3 linked regions of the Cricetulus griseus genome follow. The protein of the gene in region 2 binds, or shares a complex with, the protein of the main gene of each other region. Links are inferred from orthologs where the notes say so. Each region holds a gene or a part of one and is shown on either strand. Other genes may lie near its edges.

The links.
Region 1: Plk1 (region 2) and Knstrn share a complex: the UniProt entries of both Homo sapiens proteins name them as parts of the astrin (SPAG5)-kinastrin (SKAP) complex. The link is inferred for Cricetulus griseus from reciprocal best matches to the Homo sapiens genes PLK1 and KNSTRN.
Region 3: Plk1 (region 2) and Spag5 share a complex: the UniProt entries of both Homo sapiens proteins name them as parts of the astrin (SPAG5)-kinastrin (SKAP) complex. The link is inferred for Cricetulus griseus from reciprocal best matches to the Homo sapiens genes PLK1 and SPAG5.

The regions. Positions count from the first base shown.
Region 1 is NC_048599.1:59,661,534-59,665,049, forward strand, and holds the end of Knstrn (small kinetochore-associated protein), read right to left. Parts: intron 1,883-3,516; coding exon 1,751-1,882; 3' UTR 143-1,750; downstream 1-142. UniProt on the Homo sapiens protein: Essential component of the mitotic spindle required for faithful chromosome segregation and progression into anaphase.
Region 2 is NC_048596.1:78,505,942-78,509,923, reverse strand, and holds the start of Plk1 (serine/threonine-protein kinase PLK1), read left to right. Parts: upstream 1-1,176; 5' UTR 1,177-1,266; coding exon 1,267-1,668; intron 1,669-2,413; coding exon 2,414-2,582; intron 2,583-3,211; coding exon 3,212-3,356; intron 3,357-3,982. UniProt on the Homo sapiens protein: Serine/threonine-protein kinase that performs several important functions throughout M phase of the cell cycle, including the regulation of centrosome maturation and spindle assembly, the removal of cohesins from chromosome arms, the inactivation of anaphase-promoting complex/cyclosome (APC/C) inhibitors, and the regulation of mitotic exit and cytokinesis.
Region 3 is NC_048600.1:91,708,184-91,711,699, forward strand, and holds the end of Spag5 (sperm-associated antigen 5), read left to right. Parts: intron 1-700; coding exon 701-812; intron 813-1,276; coding exon 1,277-1,366; intron 1,367-1,589; coding exon 1,590-1,710; intron 1,711-1,800; coding exon 1,801-1,912; intron 1,913-2,296; coding exon 2,297-2,377; intron 2,378-2,481; coding exon 2,482-2,637; intron 2,638-2,717; coding exon 2,718-2,792; intron 2,793-2,902; coding exon 2,903-2,983; intron 2,984-3,165; coding exon 3,166-3,237; 3' UTR 3,238-3,452; downstream 3,453-3,516. UniProt on the Homo sapiens protein: Essential component of the mitotic spindle required for normal chromosome segregation and progression into anaphase. Required for chromosome alignment, normal timing of sister chromatid segregation, and maintenance of spindle pole architecture.

The sequences.
Region 1 (3,516 bases), on a different chromosome or scaffold from region 2:
TAAGATTGTGTGTGTGTGTGTGTGTGTGTGTGTGTGTGTGTGTGTGTGTGTGTGTGCTTTTGTTCCGCTGGTGGAAAAAGGCATGGAAGACAGGTTAAAAAAACAAAACAAAAAACAAAAGCACTCTTTTGCAACCCAGAACTCATTGTTCAGTATTAGTTTTTATAGATACAAGAATGGCATATGATAGTAAGGCAGCTATCTCAAAGTGATGGTGTGGGTCACACGCTCCCATAGTGGATCCTGTTGCTGGTGAGTGTCCTTTGGTCTCCTGCATGCATGAGCAGAGCATACTCCTGTGAGACTGCATGGCTGTCCACCCCTCATCTGAACTCTGCATACCATTCAGGACTTCACCAGAGTCTTGGAAGGATCGTGCATCACAAAGGAACCCAGAATGCATTCCTCTATAGCCACCCCTCCTGGAGTCCCACCTTGCATATGGTGAAGGTGCGTTGCTTTATCTACTGTGTGATGGTCCTTATTTGTGCCTTTACATTATAAGCCATTTTATACATTTGAAAAAGAAAGAAAATAAGTATGGGGTATGACTTGGCTTCACTGGGTTAGGGGACTCTGGGCAGTCTTAGTGATTTAGAAGGATATATTAGGCAGGTTTGGTGGAAGGCACAAAACCAAGGGGAGATAGCCAAAGCAAAAGCTGGAATATTTCAATTAAGAAAGGAAACATGGTAGCACTTTTGGTGACCCCAAGTGGGAGGCTACCATGGGTGCCAGGCCATAAACCACAGAGACCATAGGGCCTGTGGGATGAGGTTCTGGGTTGGCTGTGATAGATAAACTGCAGACATACAGGCAACAGAGACAGCAGCTGGCCATAAACATGGTGAATAGGACATGGCCCACAGTGCAGAAGAACCAGTGACCTGGACGGCAAGGGGGCTTGTTACAAGCAAGTAACAGGTGGAGGGAAAAATACACCACAGAAGTCAGGAAGCCTTGAACTTACCCAGTATGCTCGACTCATCTATCTAGACTGAAGTGCTAATTAATCCTTCCTCCCTCCCTTTTCCTCCTTTTTTGAGATAGGATCTCTGAAGCCTTGGCTAGTCTCTAATTCAAGGCAATTCTCCTGCCTCAGATTCCCAAGTCCTGATTATAGACATGAGCCACCACACTGGGCTAAAAAGCTATTTCATTCCTCAGTGCTAATCAGAATATGAAAATTCACATATGTATTTATTTCAAAAGCAGTACTTAAAAGCTCCAAGTGCTATTTGTTGCAGGTAGGTGTTATATATACCTCCACCCCGTTTATTAAGCCAAAAAAACTTCAAGAATTTCAAGTTCATGAATTTAGCTTAACCGGGTGGACAAAGAAGGGGACAGCATGGTTCTCAGTGACATCTCCTGTACAGTAAGTATATGCACTGTTGTATGAAGGCTTTCCTCCCACATTTCTGCATAAGAGCCTCTGGATTCTCCAAGGTGGCTGGCTGGGTTAGCATCCAGGCTCTGAGGGTTGGTGCTTTGTTGCGCAGGTGGTGGAGTCAAGCTTCTAGGTCCCTCTCTTGCAGGTCTCCATGAGCAAGCACCTTGTGAGGCCAGGTGAGCTGAGCAGTCTGAAGGTGGGCAGTCTGCTTAAGGAGGAACCCCGTTCCACATCAACTACCCTAAGTAAGATTAACTGCTACAGTGCATAAGGGATGGTGAGTCCTTGAGGATACCCTAAGGGGCTTCCTCTGGGAGTTTGCCCCAGGAAGAAGCCGTCTGGCCACACTGCCTTGTATTACATCTCTAAAAGCTGCTCCATTTCCTCCAGGACTACTGTGAAGTCACTGGCTTGGTCCTTACATCCGTTTTGCTGCTCCAGGAACTGGAGCCTTTCTTCTTCTTTCAACTTCAACTTCACCTTCAAGGCCTGAAAGGGAAGGCATTCCAAAGGAAACCCACAACAAAACTCTGGCCTCACAGAAGGATAGCACTTGGACCAGAGTGTCACATCTGTGCGGCAGAGAGCAAGACCAGCCAGTGCCAGACATCCAATTCCCTACCTTGGGAATTACTTGGGCAATTTTTTCACTCCTGTGTTTAAACTGGAGTATTGAAATCCTGTGTCTCCTGCCCCATGGTTTCTCTAGGCAACCTAAAGCCACCCAGGCCCAGTTTATTTTTAAAACAGGGTCTCACCATGTAGACTAGCCTTACAGAGATCCTCCTACCCCCTATGATAAAAGGTGTGTGCTACCATGCCTGGCTTCTTATTATTTTTCTGTGTGTGTGTGTCTGTCTGTGTGTGTGTATGTGTGTCTGTATGTCTATGTCTGTCTGTGTGCATCTGTGTCTGCCTGTGTGTGTGTGTGTATGTGTGTGTGTGTGCACTCGCGTGAATGCTTTGGATGCCTGTAGAGAGGAGAAAAGGGCATCAGATCCCTAGAGTTGGAGCTATGGAGTTATGAGCTCTGGGAAGCAGAACCTGGGACCACTGCAGGAGCAGCAGGCACTCTCAACTGTGAGCTGTCCCTCTCGCCCTGGAATCCGGATGTTTTGCTCAGGTCTCTTTACATCTTGACATAAGCTTTCTAGCATGGATTTCACATAGTCTCAACTTTGAGCAGCCTACTGTGTGGACCACTGGAGGTATGGATTTCCCCCCTCTCCGCACCAGCTTTATCCCTGGGAACATTTCTGGATCCTCAGGAACATAAAAAGAAAAACTTGCAGAGGAAAAGCATCCAAAACAGAAACTGATTCAGTAAAAACTCCAGGAATTTAGTTAACAATGACACACCAGTATTGGTTTCTTACTGGTGACAAATGTGTGAGGATTTGTGAGGTGTTATCCTTAGGGGAGCTATGCAACTTTTCTATACATCTAAAATTATTTAGAAAATGGGTTTTTGCTTGGTTTGGTTTTTAGAGTCAGGGTTTCTCTGTGTAACAGCTCTAGCTGTTTTGGAACTAGCTCTGTAGACAAGGCTGGCCTCTGTCTCCCAAGTGCTGGGATTAAAGGTGTTCAACACCCCAACATGGCTTAAAAATAGTGTATTAAAAACAAACTAGGAGCCAATCATGGGGACAGATGAAATAGCTCAGTGGGTAAAGGTACTTGCCACCAAGCCTGAGGACCTGAGTTTGAGTCCCATATGCTGTGGCATGTATGGACCCACAAACATTTATACATACATACTATACACACACTCACACATAACAAATAATATAAAGGCAGAGGGAACTGGAGATGTCTCTGCAGTTAAGTATCACCGCTCTTCCAGACAACTAGAATTCAGTTTTTAGTATCCATGTTAGTCAGCTCACAATTGCCTATAACTCTAGTTCCAGGGGATCTGAAGCCCTCTCATGTCTTCCATTGGTACCTGTACATACATGACATAATTCACAGTGACACATACTCATGAATAAAAATAAATGTTAAAAACAAAAAAAAAGCCGCCGGGTGGTGGTGGTGCACACCTTTAATCCCAGCACTGGGGAGGCAGAGGCAGGTGGATCTCTGAGTTTGAGACCAGCCTGGTTTACAAGAGCTAGTTCCAG
Region 2 (3,982 bases):
ACCTGCACTGTGTGGCCATTCCTTTTAAGTGTTGTAAATTTTTTTTTTTTTTTTTTTAAATGAAGGCCAACAAACACCCCTGCTGGGCAGATTTGGCCCTGCTACTTTGCTAGCACTCTCCAACCAGCCATCCCTCCCTCTGACTAAAAAAACTAGTTTTCTCTATTTGGAGCAACTTAGGACAAGCCAGGTAACCTTGCATTCATGCTCCTAAATTTGCTCCGCGAACCTGGCCGGGCCGGTGCAGAGATCTTGCTCTGCTCCTCTCCTCCCCGAATTCAAACGCAGCGAGAGGGGGGAGAGAGCTGATGCTTTTCTTTTTTTCTTTTCTTTTTTGGGTTTTTCGAGACAGGGTTTCTCTGTGGCTTTGGAGACTGTCCTGGAACTATCTCTTGTAGACTAGGCTGATCTCAAACTCACAGAGATCTGCCTGCCTCTGCCTCCCGAGTTCTAGGATCACCTTGTGTAGGAATCACCTGACAGTCTTGTTTGACCTGCAGGTCAGACCTGGGCGGTTTCTTTCCTTCGAGGGTAGGGGGGAAGGAATGTTGCCTGGTAGCTGAGGCTGGCCTTAGGCTAACTTGCAATCTTGAACCCACGCTCCTTCTTAAGGAGTTCCTGGGTGTTGCAGATACTGCTGACCCCTGGGTTTTACTGGAGAAGTCTAGAGCTCCTTTCAATTCGGGCTCCGGGAGTGGTTGCCACAGAGCTTCCTTTTGCCTGCCAGACATGCTGGGTTTGTTCAGGTTTGGGTTTATATAGACTAGCCAGGGAGACGGCAGTCGAGGGCGAAGGCGGTGCACTGCCAAGCTACCTCTAGGCCTGGAGTTTCAGATCTAGAAGGCCAGGAGGAGTGGAGGAAGGTGTTAGTTAGGTCCTAACTGGAGAAGCCTCTGGAGGAGGGGCATGAACCACAGGAGCATTCTCTGGCCGAGGAGCAGAAAGCCGGACCGAATTCTGTCCCCTGGGTATTTCCGCGTATTCCATCCGCTCCTAGTTTCCCAGGGTATCCCACGTGCATTTAATCCTTAAGTCCCAGCCCATCAAGTTTCTCCTCACAAGATCGGGGGTTTAAAAGCGGCTGCGCCGTAGAGCACTCCCATGGTGCCGCGCGCTGGGCGGGTTTGTATTTTAAATCCCCGCGGCCAATCAACAACGCGCAGGTCCTTGTAACGTTCCCAGCGCTGCGTTTGAATTCGGGGAGGAGCGGAGCAGGGCAAGATCTCTGCACCGGCCCGGCCAGGTTCGCGTAGCAAATTTAGGAGCATGAATGCAGCGGCCAAAAAGCTGGCTCGAGCACCAGCCGATCTCGGGAAAGCTGGGGTTCCTGGAGATGCAGCTACCGGTGCCCCAGTGACCGCCCCGCTGTCGAAAGAGATTCCTGAGGTCTTAGTGGACCCACGCAGCCGGCGCCAGTATGTGCGGGGCCGCTTTCTGGGTAAAGGAGGATTTGCCAAATGCTTCGAGATCTCGGATGCAGACACAAAGGAGGTGTTCGCAGGCAAGATCGTGCCGAAGTCTTTACTTCTCAAGCCCCACCAAAAGGAAAAGATGTCTATGGAGATTTCTATCCACCGCAGCCTCGCACACCAACACGTCGTAGGCTTCCACGGCTTTTTTGAGGACAGCGACTTTGTGTTTGTGGTTTTGGAGCTCTGTCGCAGGAGGGTGAGTGTTTCTGCTGTGGTGTTGGGGCGACCACACCGGGAACTTGCTGGCAAAGAGGCATCGACGCCTTGGAGTGGCCTAGAGGAGTGCTTGGGTTTCAAGCAATTATGAAGGGGCTCCTGGTGAGGGTGTTTGGCATTCCGAGCTGCTGAGGCCGGGGGTTGAGGGCAAGCGGAACCCGGGACCTGTTGCTATTATTAGGGAAGGTGGCTCCTGCACGCAAGACTGCCAGTAGGTGCAGGAAATGGGTGTTTAAAGTGATTAACAAGGGTCCCAAGCTACGGCTGCCGCGGACCTAGAACTTCCGGAGTGGAGTGGGGCAGGGTCTGGAGTGGGGGAGGGAGGAGAGGCTGTCTGGAGTCAGACCTCAGCTTTCAGGAAAAGGAGAGGGTCTCCTGCTGGGAGGAAGCCCCTAAATAAGGGGTTGAGAGAAGACGCTGGGTAAGGGTACTCGTTAACAGGAGAGGGGTCCTGTGAATGATAATGGCCTGACCAGTGTATGGACAGAACCATTAGGAGCCTGCCAAGACATAAGAATTATGGGTTAATAAGTGGAAGAGTTAGCTAAGCCTGTACTATAGGCCGAGCATTTATAATTAATATAAGCCTCAGAGTAGTTATTTGGAATCGGCTGGTCGGGATAGGAAACTTCCGTCTATACTTTACTCCCGAGGGTTTAATCTTGGCCACATCCAGCTGGCCACCCTTTTCCTTGGGCTTAACTACCTTCTTCCCTCTTCCTCAGTCTCTCCTGGAACTGCACAAGAGGAGGAAAGCGCTGACCGAGCCCGAGGCACGCTACTATCTACGTCAGATAGTCCTGGGCTGCCAGTATCTGCACCGAAATCAGGTCATTCACAGGGACCTCAAGCTAGGCAACCTCTTCCTGAACGAGGATCTGGAGGTGAAAATAGGTGAGGTGCTGGGCCTGCGGGTGTCTGGTGCCAGTACAAGAGGTGGCAAGGAGGGGAACTCTGGGAGAATGGGAGCCAGAGAAGTGGAAGGTGGGTGGGAAATGGAGGTGCTGCCCTCCAGAAAGCCTTCTTGTCCAGAAATGGAAAGTAAGTGTCCCACAGGCCAGTGTTTTGCTGTCCCTTTACTGAGCTGAAAAGCACCTTTTCCCTTGAGACTCTGATTTGCCTCAGTCCCTATACTCCTGTCACTTTTCTTAAACTTGTCACAGTCACAAAGAATATTTACTTGATTCCCTAGTGCATCCAATTCTGCTATCCTATGTATTTTAAATTTCATATATGTGGGGTTCGAGATAGAAGGTAACTTTCTGGAGTCAGTTCTGTTCTTCCATTGTGGGTTCCAGGGTCAACTCAAGTTGTTAGTCTTAGCGGCAAGCACCTGTACCTACTGAGCCATCTTACTTCCCTAGCCCTGCTATCTAAAGAGGAGTGTAAAGGGCAGTGGGAAGGTTCGGGAACAGAGACTGGAGTCTTGAGGCACTGGCTCTCTATGGTCAGTCCTGAGGCAGTTGTCTGCAGCCACAAGATGGCCTAGCAGCTAATCACCTCTCTTCTTCCCTCTGTCCCAGGGGACTTTGGGCTGGCAACCAAAGTGGAATATGAAGGTGAACGAAAGAAGACCTTATGTGGCACTCCTAACTACATAGCTCCCGAGGTGCTGAGCAAGAAGGGACACAGTTTTGAGGTGGATGTGTGGTCCATTGGGTGTATCATGTAAGTTGGGAATGGACTCAGGAGCTATTGGGTCTCAACAGGATTTTCTGAGGCATTTCATCCAGTTGACCTTTCCCTCTGGATCCCACATGAAGCCCCTTTTCCTTATTTATCAATCTATAGCATTCCTGTAGCTTGGACTTATGGTCCAGGGAAGGGACCAAATGTGTCTACACTTCTTCCTCCAGCTCCTTGCTGCTTACTAAAAGCATGCACTAACCCAAACCATCAATACCTCTGAGGGTTTGTTAGGATGTGGAAATCTCAGTTCTGGACCTGGGTCTAATAAAATCCCTGGCTGACTTTCAGTAAAGCTTTGGAAACACTGATGAGTGCTGATGGGAGAATCAGATCAGCAGAAAGGTTCATGGTAGGCAGAAGCTCCATCATGGTGCTTGTGCCTGTGGCAGATAGCAGTGGCCTCTGCGGTTCTTGAGGAGTCCTCTATTACTGCAGGCCAGAGCTGGGGAATCTCTAGCGCTTGGTATTCAGTGTTGTCACCTGCATTCTTCTGAGGGCTTATCCCAGCCATTGGCTTCTATGAGACTGAGCAGACTTGGAGATCAGCCTCATCCGTTCTGAGTCAGTGAATCCAGCCCAGCTCCCTTCCTCTAGACAATGACTTC
Region 3 (3,516 bases), on a different chromosome or scaffold from region 2:
AGTAAGCTAGGAAGTACCTGTTATGTTTGAACGGAAAGGATGCCAGGCCTGGAGAGACAGTTAAGAGTACATACTTTTCTTGCAGAGAACTAGAGTTCAGTTTTCAGCACCCACAACTGGCAGCTCACAACTTCCTGTAACTTCAAGGGATCTGACATCCCTGTCCTCACTCATGCAGACACATATACATATACATACGTTAATAATAATAAAAATATTTTTTAAAAAAGAAGGTAAGGGCCAGGCGGTGGTGGTGCACACCTTTAATCCTAGCACTAGGGAGGCAGAGGCAGGCGGATCTCTGAGTTCAAGACCAGCATGGTATACAAAGAGAGTTCCAGGACAGACTCCAAAGCTACACAGAGAAACTCTGTCTTGATAAACTAGCAAAAAAAAAATGTGTGCTAATCACAAAAATTTTGGTTGTCAAGTCATAGGTAGAATTAAATATAAGAAAAAGGACAGTAGTAGCTAAAGGATTTAAGGTTTTGTTTTTTCATTTTAAATGAAAAATGTTGTTTTAGTGGGAGAGACTTAAGCACATCGCATGTTTGGGGAAAGGCAGTAGTGGGAAGCTGGGGTAGGACCAGAAGGTAGAGTGGAAGCTCACTCTGGGTGTGGCCCAGGAAAGGTGGCCCAGGACGTCACCCTCAAGTGCGGCTGAGCAGCTGATTATGTTATTTTTCTCCTTTGCCCTCAGGCTGAATCAGAGATCATTCTGCCCAGCACAGGTTGTGCTCCAGCCCAGGAACACCTTCTGCCTGATGATAGCACTGCTTCAGAAAAGGCCCTGACAGCAGTGGCAGATGAAGGTTAAAGACCTTGGGGTTTAAGGAGGGTGGCACAGATGCACACCACTAGGCTTGTCTGTCGTACCCCACTTCCACTGCTTCAGTCCCCTGGTTGGGCCACCAGAGAGACCTTCTCTATGCTTCATTTTTTTTTTTTTAAGATTTTATTTATTTATTTATTTATTATGTATACAACATTCTGCTTCCATGTATATCTGCACACCAGAAGAGGGCACCAGGTCTCATGACAGATGGTTGTGAGCCACCATGTGGTTGCTGGGAATTGAACTCAGGACCTCTGGAAGAGCAGTCAGTGCTCTTAACGTCTGAGCCATCTCTCCAGCCCCTATGCTTCACTTTTTTAAATTTTGTTTATTTGTTTGTTTGTTCATGTTCGATTGTTTTCCAGAGACGTGGTCTCATGTAGTTCACCATGGCCTTGAATTTCTAAGTTGATGAACATACATGGTTTATTTTTGCTTTAGAGCCAGAACCAGTTCCCGTCGTGCCATTGCTTGGAAGTGATAAGAGTGCTTTCACCCGAGTAGCATCAACGATTTCCTTTCAGCCTACAGGTTAGGATGGGCTCCAGGGACCACGAGCAAAGACAAAAGCAGAGAGAAGTACTTTGCTCTAAAAACCTCGATTCTACTTGGGCTTGTTTTATTCCTGTCTTTTGGGATCTGTGATGTTCCGGATATTACAGTCTTGTGGGTGGGGAACAAAACGTGGAAATGTGGTTGTGTAGCCCATCCTAGGCAGAAGGGCTGTATTTCTATCTAGGACTTCCTCTTTCAGAGACCCCAGGACTGGAGAAGAGCTCATCAGAAATGAGTACTATGTTACTAGAGCTTCAGAGCCTGTGTTCTCTGCTGCAGGAGTCTAAAGAAGAAGCCATTGGGGCCCTGCAGAGAAAAATGTGAGAGGTGTTGATGATAGGGGGTGATGAGAGCGCCCCTCATGCCAAGGGCTGAGTACAGGAATGATGCCGACTTCTTCCCTCCCATAGCTGTGAATTGCAGACTAGACTGCAGGACCAAGAGGAAGAGCATCAGGAAGCCCTGAAGGCAAAGGAGGCAGACATAGAGAAGCTGAACCAGGCCTTGTGCTTATGCTATAAGGTGAAGGAGGGACCTTAAAGTGGGGCGATGAAGAACTGGGGCGGCTCCACCAGCCCACTGGGAACCACTCTCTAGGAATCTAGGTAGTGGGGGTTTTCCAACTGCTGCCCTAGTTTTGCCCTTTTGGGGTCAGACATTTGATATCTGAGACTTTGCTCTGGGCCGACCTGTCACATTCAAGCAGACCCAGGAGAGAAGCCTAGAACTGAAGCAGAGCTCTGAACCAAGATATGCCATACTTGACTTGGCCCTGAAGAAAAATTGGACTGATATGAACTAATCCCCAAGGCTGAGCACAGCGAAGGCATTCTGTCCTGCCTTCTGGCAAGGGCTGCAAAAGTTAGCCTTTCCTCAGAGCTTTCTCTCCTCTTTTTTTCTTCACAGAATGAAAAGGAGCTCCAGGAAGTGATACAGAAGCAGAACGAGAAGATCTTAGGGCAGATAGACAAGAGTGGTGAGCTCATAGTAAGTTCCTAGTGATGTTGTGAGGCCTCTGCTTCTCCCACCTGATGGAGTAAAGAGAGAAAGGACCCCCGAGTGCTGTTGGATTACTCTGCTCTTGTTCCCAGAGTCTCAAGGAGGAGGTGACCCAGCTCACACGTTTACTGCGGCATGCAGAGACAGAGACGAAAGTGCTCCAGGAAGCTCTGGAGGGCCAGCTAGACCCCAGCTGTCAGCTGATGGCTACTAACTGGATCCAGGAAAAAGTCTCTCTCTCACAGGAGGTAACTCAAGTTAACCAAGGATCTGGGCACCTACTGGGGACCCCAGGCTGTGCCCCTATTAATGTGGACATATTTATAAGGTGGACAAGCTGAGGGCCATGTTCCTGGAGATGAAAAACGAGAAAGCAAAACTGGTGATCAAGTATCAGAGCCATGTAAGGAATTGTTTTCTTCCACCACAAGCAAGCACCCTGCCATGTTGCCCGTGTCTTCTCTAGCTATGGTCTTTTAAGTATAGGGCTTATGAAGCCTGTTTGTATTTTAGAGGAACATTCTTGAGGAGAACCTTCGGCGCTCTGACACTGAGTTAAAGAAACTGGATGACACTATCCAGTATATCTACGAGGTAAAAGTGAGGGAGGTACCAGGACCTGGCCGCAGAGAACTGAGGGGCTCAGCTCTGGTTCTCAGCCTGTGCTGGGAGCTAGGCCTGTCCTCTGCCAGTAGGTCTCCCTCCTCTAGCCTCACGGGCCAGGAGCTTTGGCTTCAGCCTTGTGATTCAGAGCTGTTTTCTCTGCCTCTTTCCAGACTCTGCTGTCTGTCCCAGAGGTAGTGAAGAGTTGCAAAGAACTACAAAGATTGCTGGAGTTTCTGAGCTAAGAAACTGAAAATATTGCACCTGCAGTTCCAGCTACTCCGGAGGCAGAGGCAGGAGGATTGCTTACTCCAAGAGTTTGAGACTAGAGTGGACAGCACGGCAAAGAAACTGAAGGCTGGATTCCACTTCATTCCCTTCAGGATCCCTTACCCCAGTAATAGGAATTGGCATATAGCCAACTGTTTTTATGTTATTTAAATAAAGTATATTTAATGTAGTTCTTACATCCACTGGATCTTATTTTGGGGGTAGGAGTGGGCAGATGAAATCAGGGAGGCAGC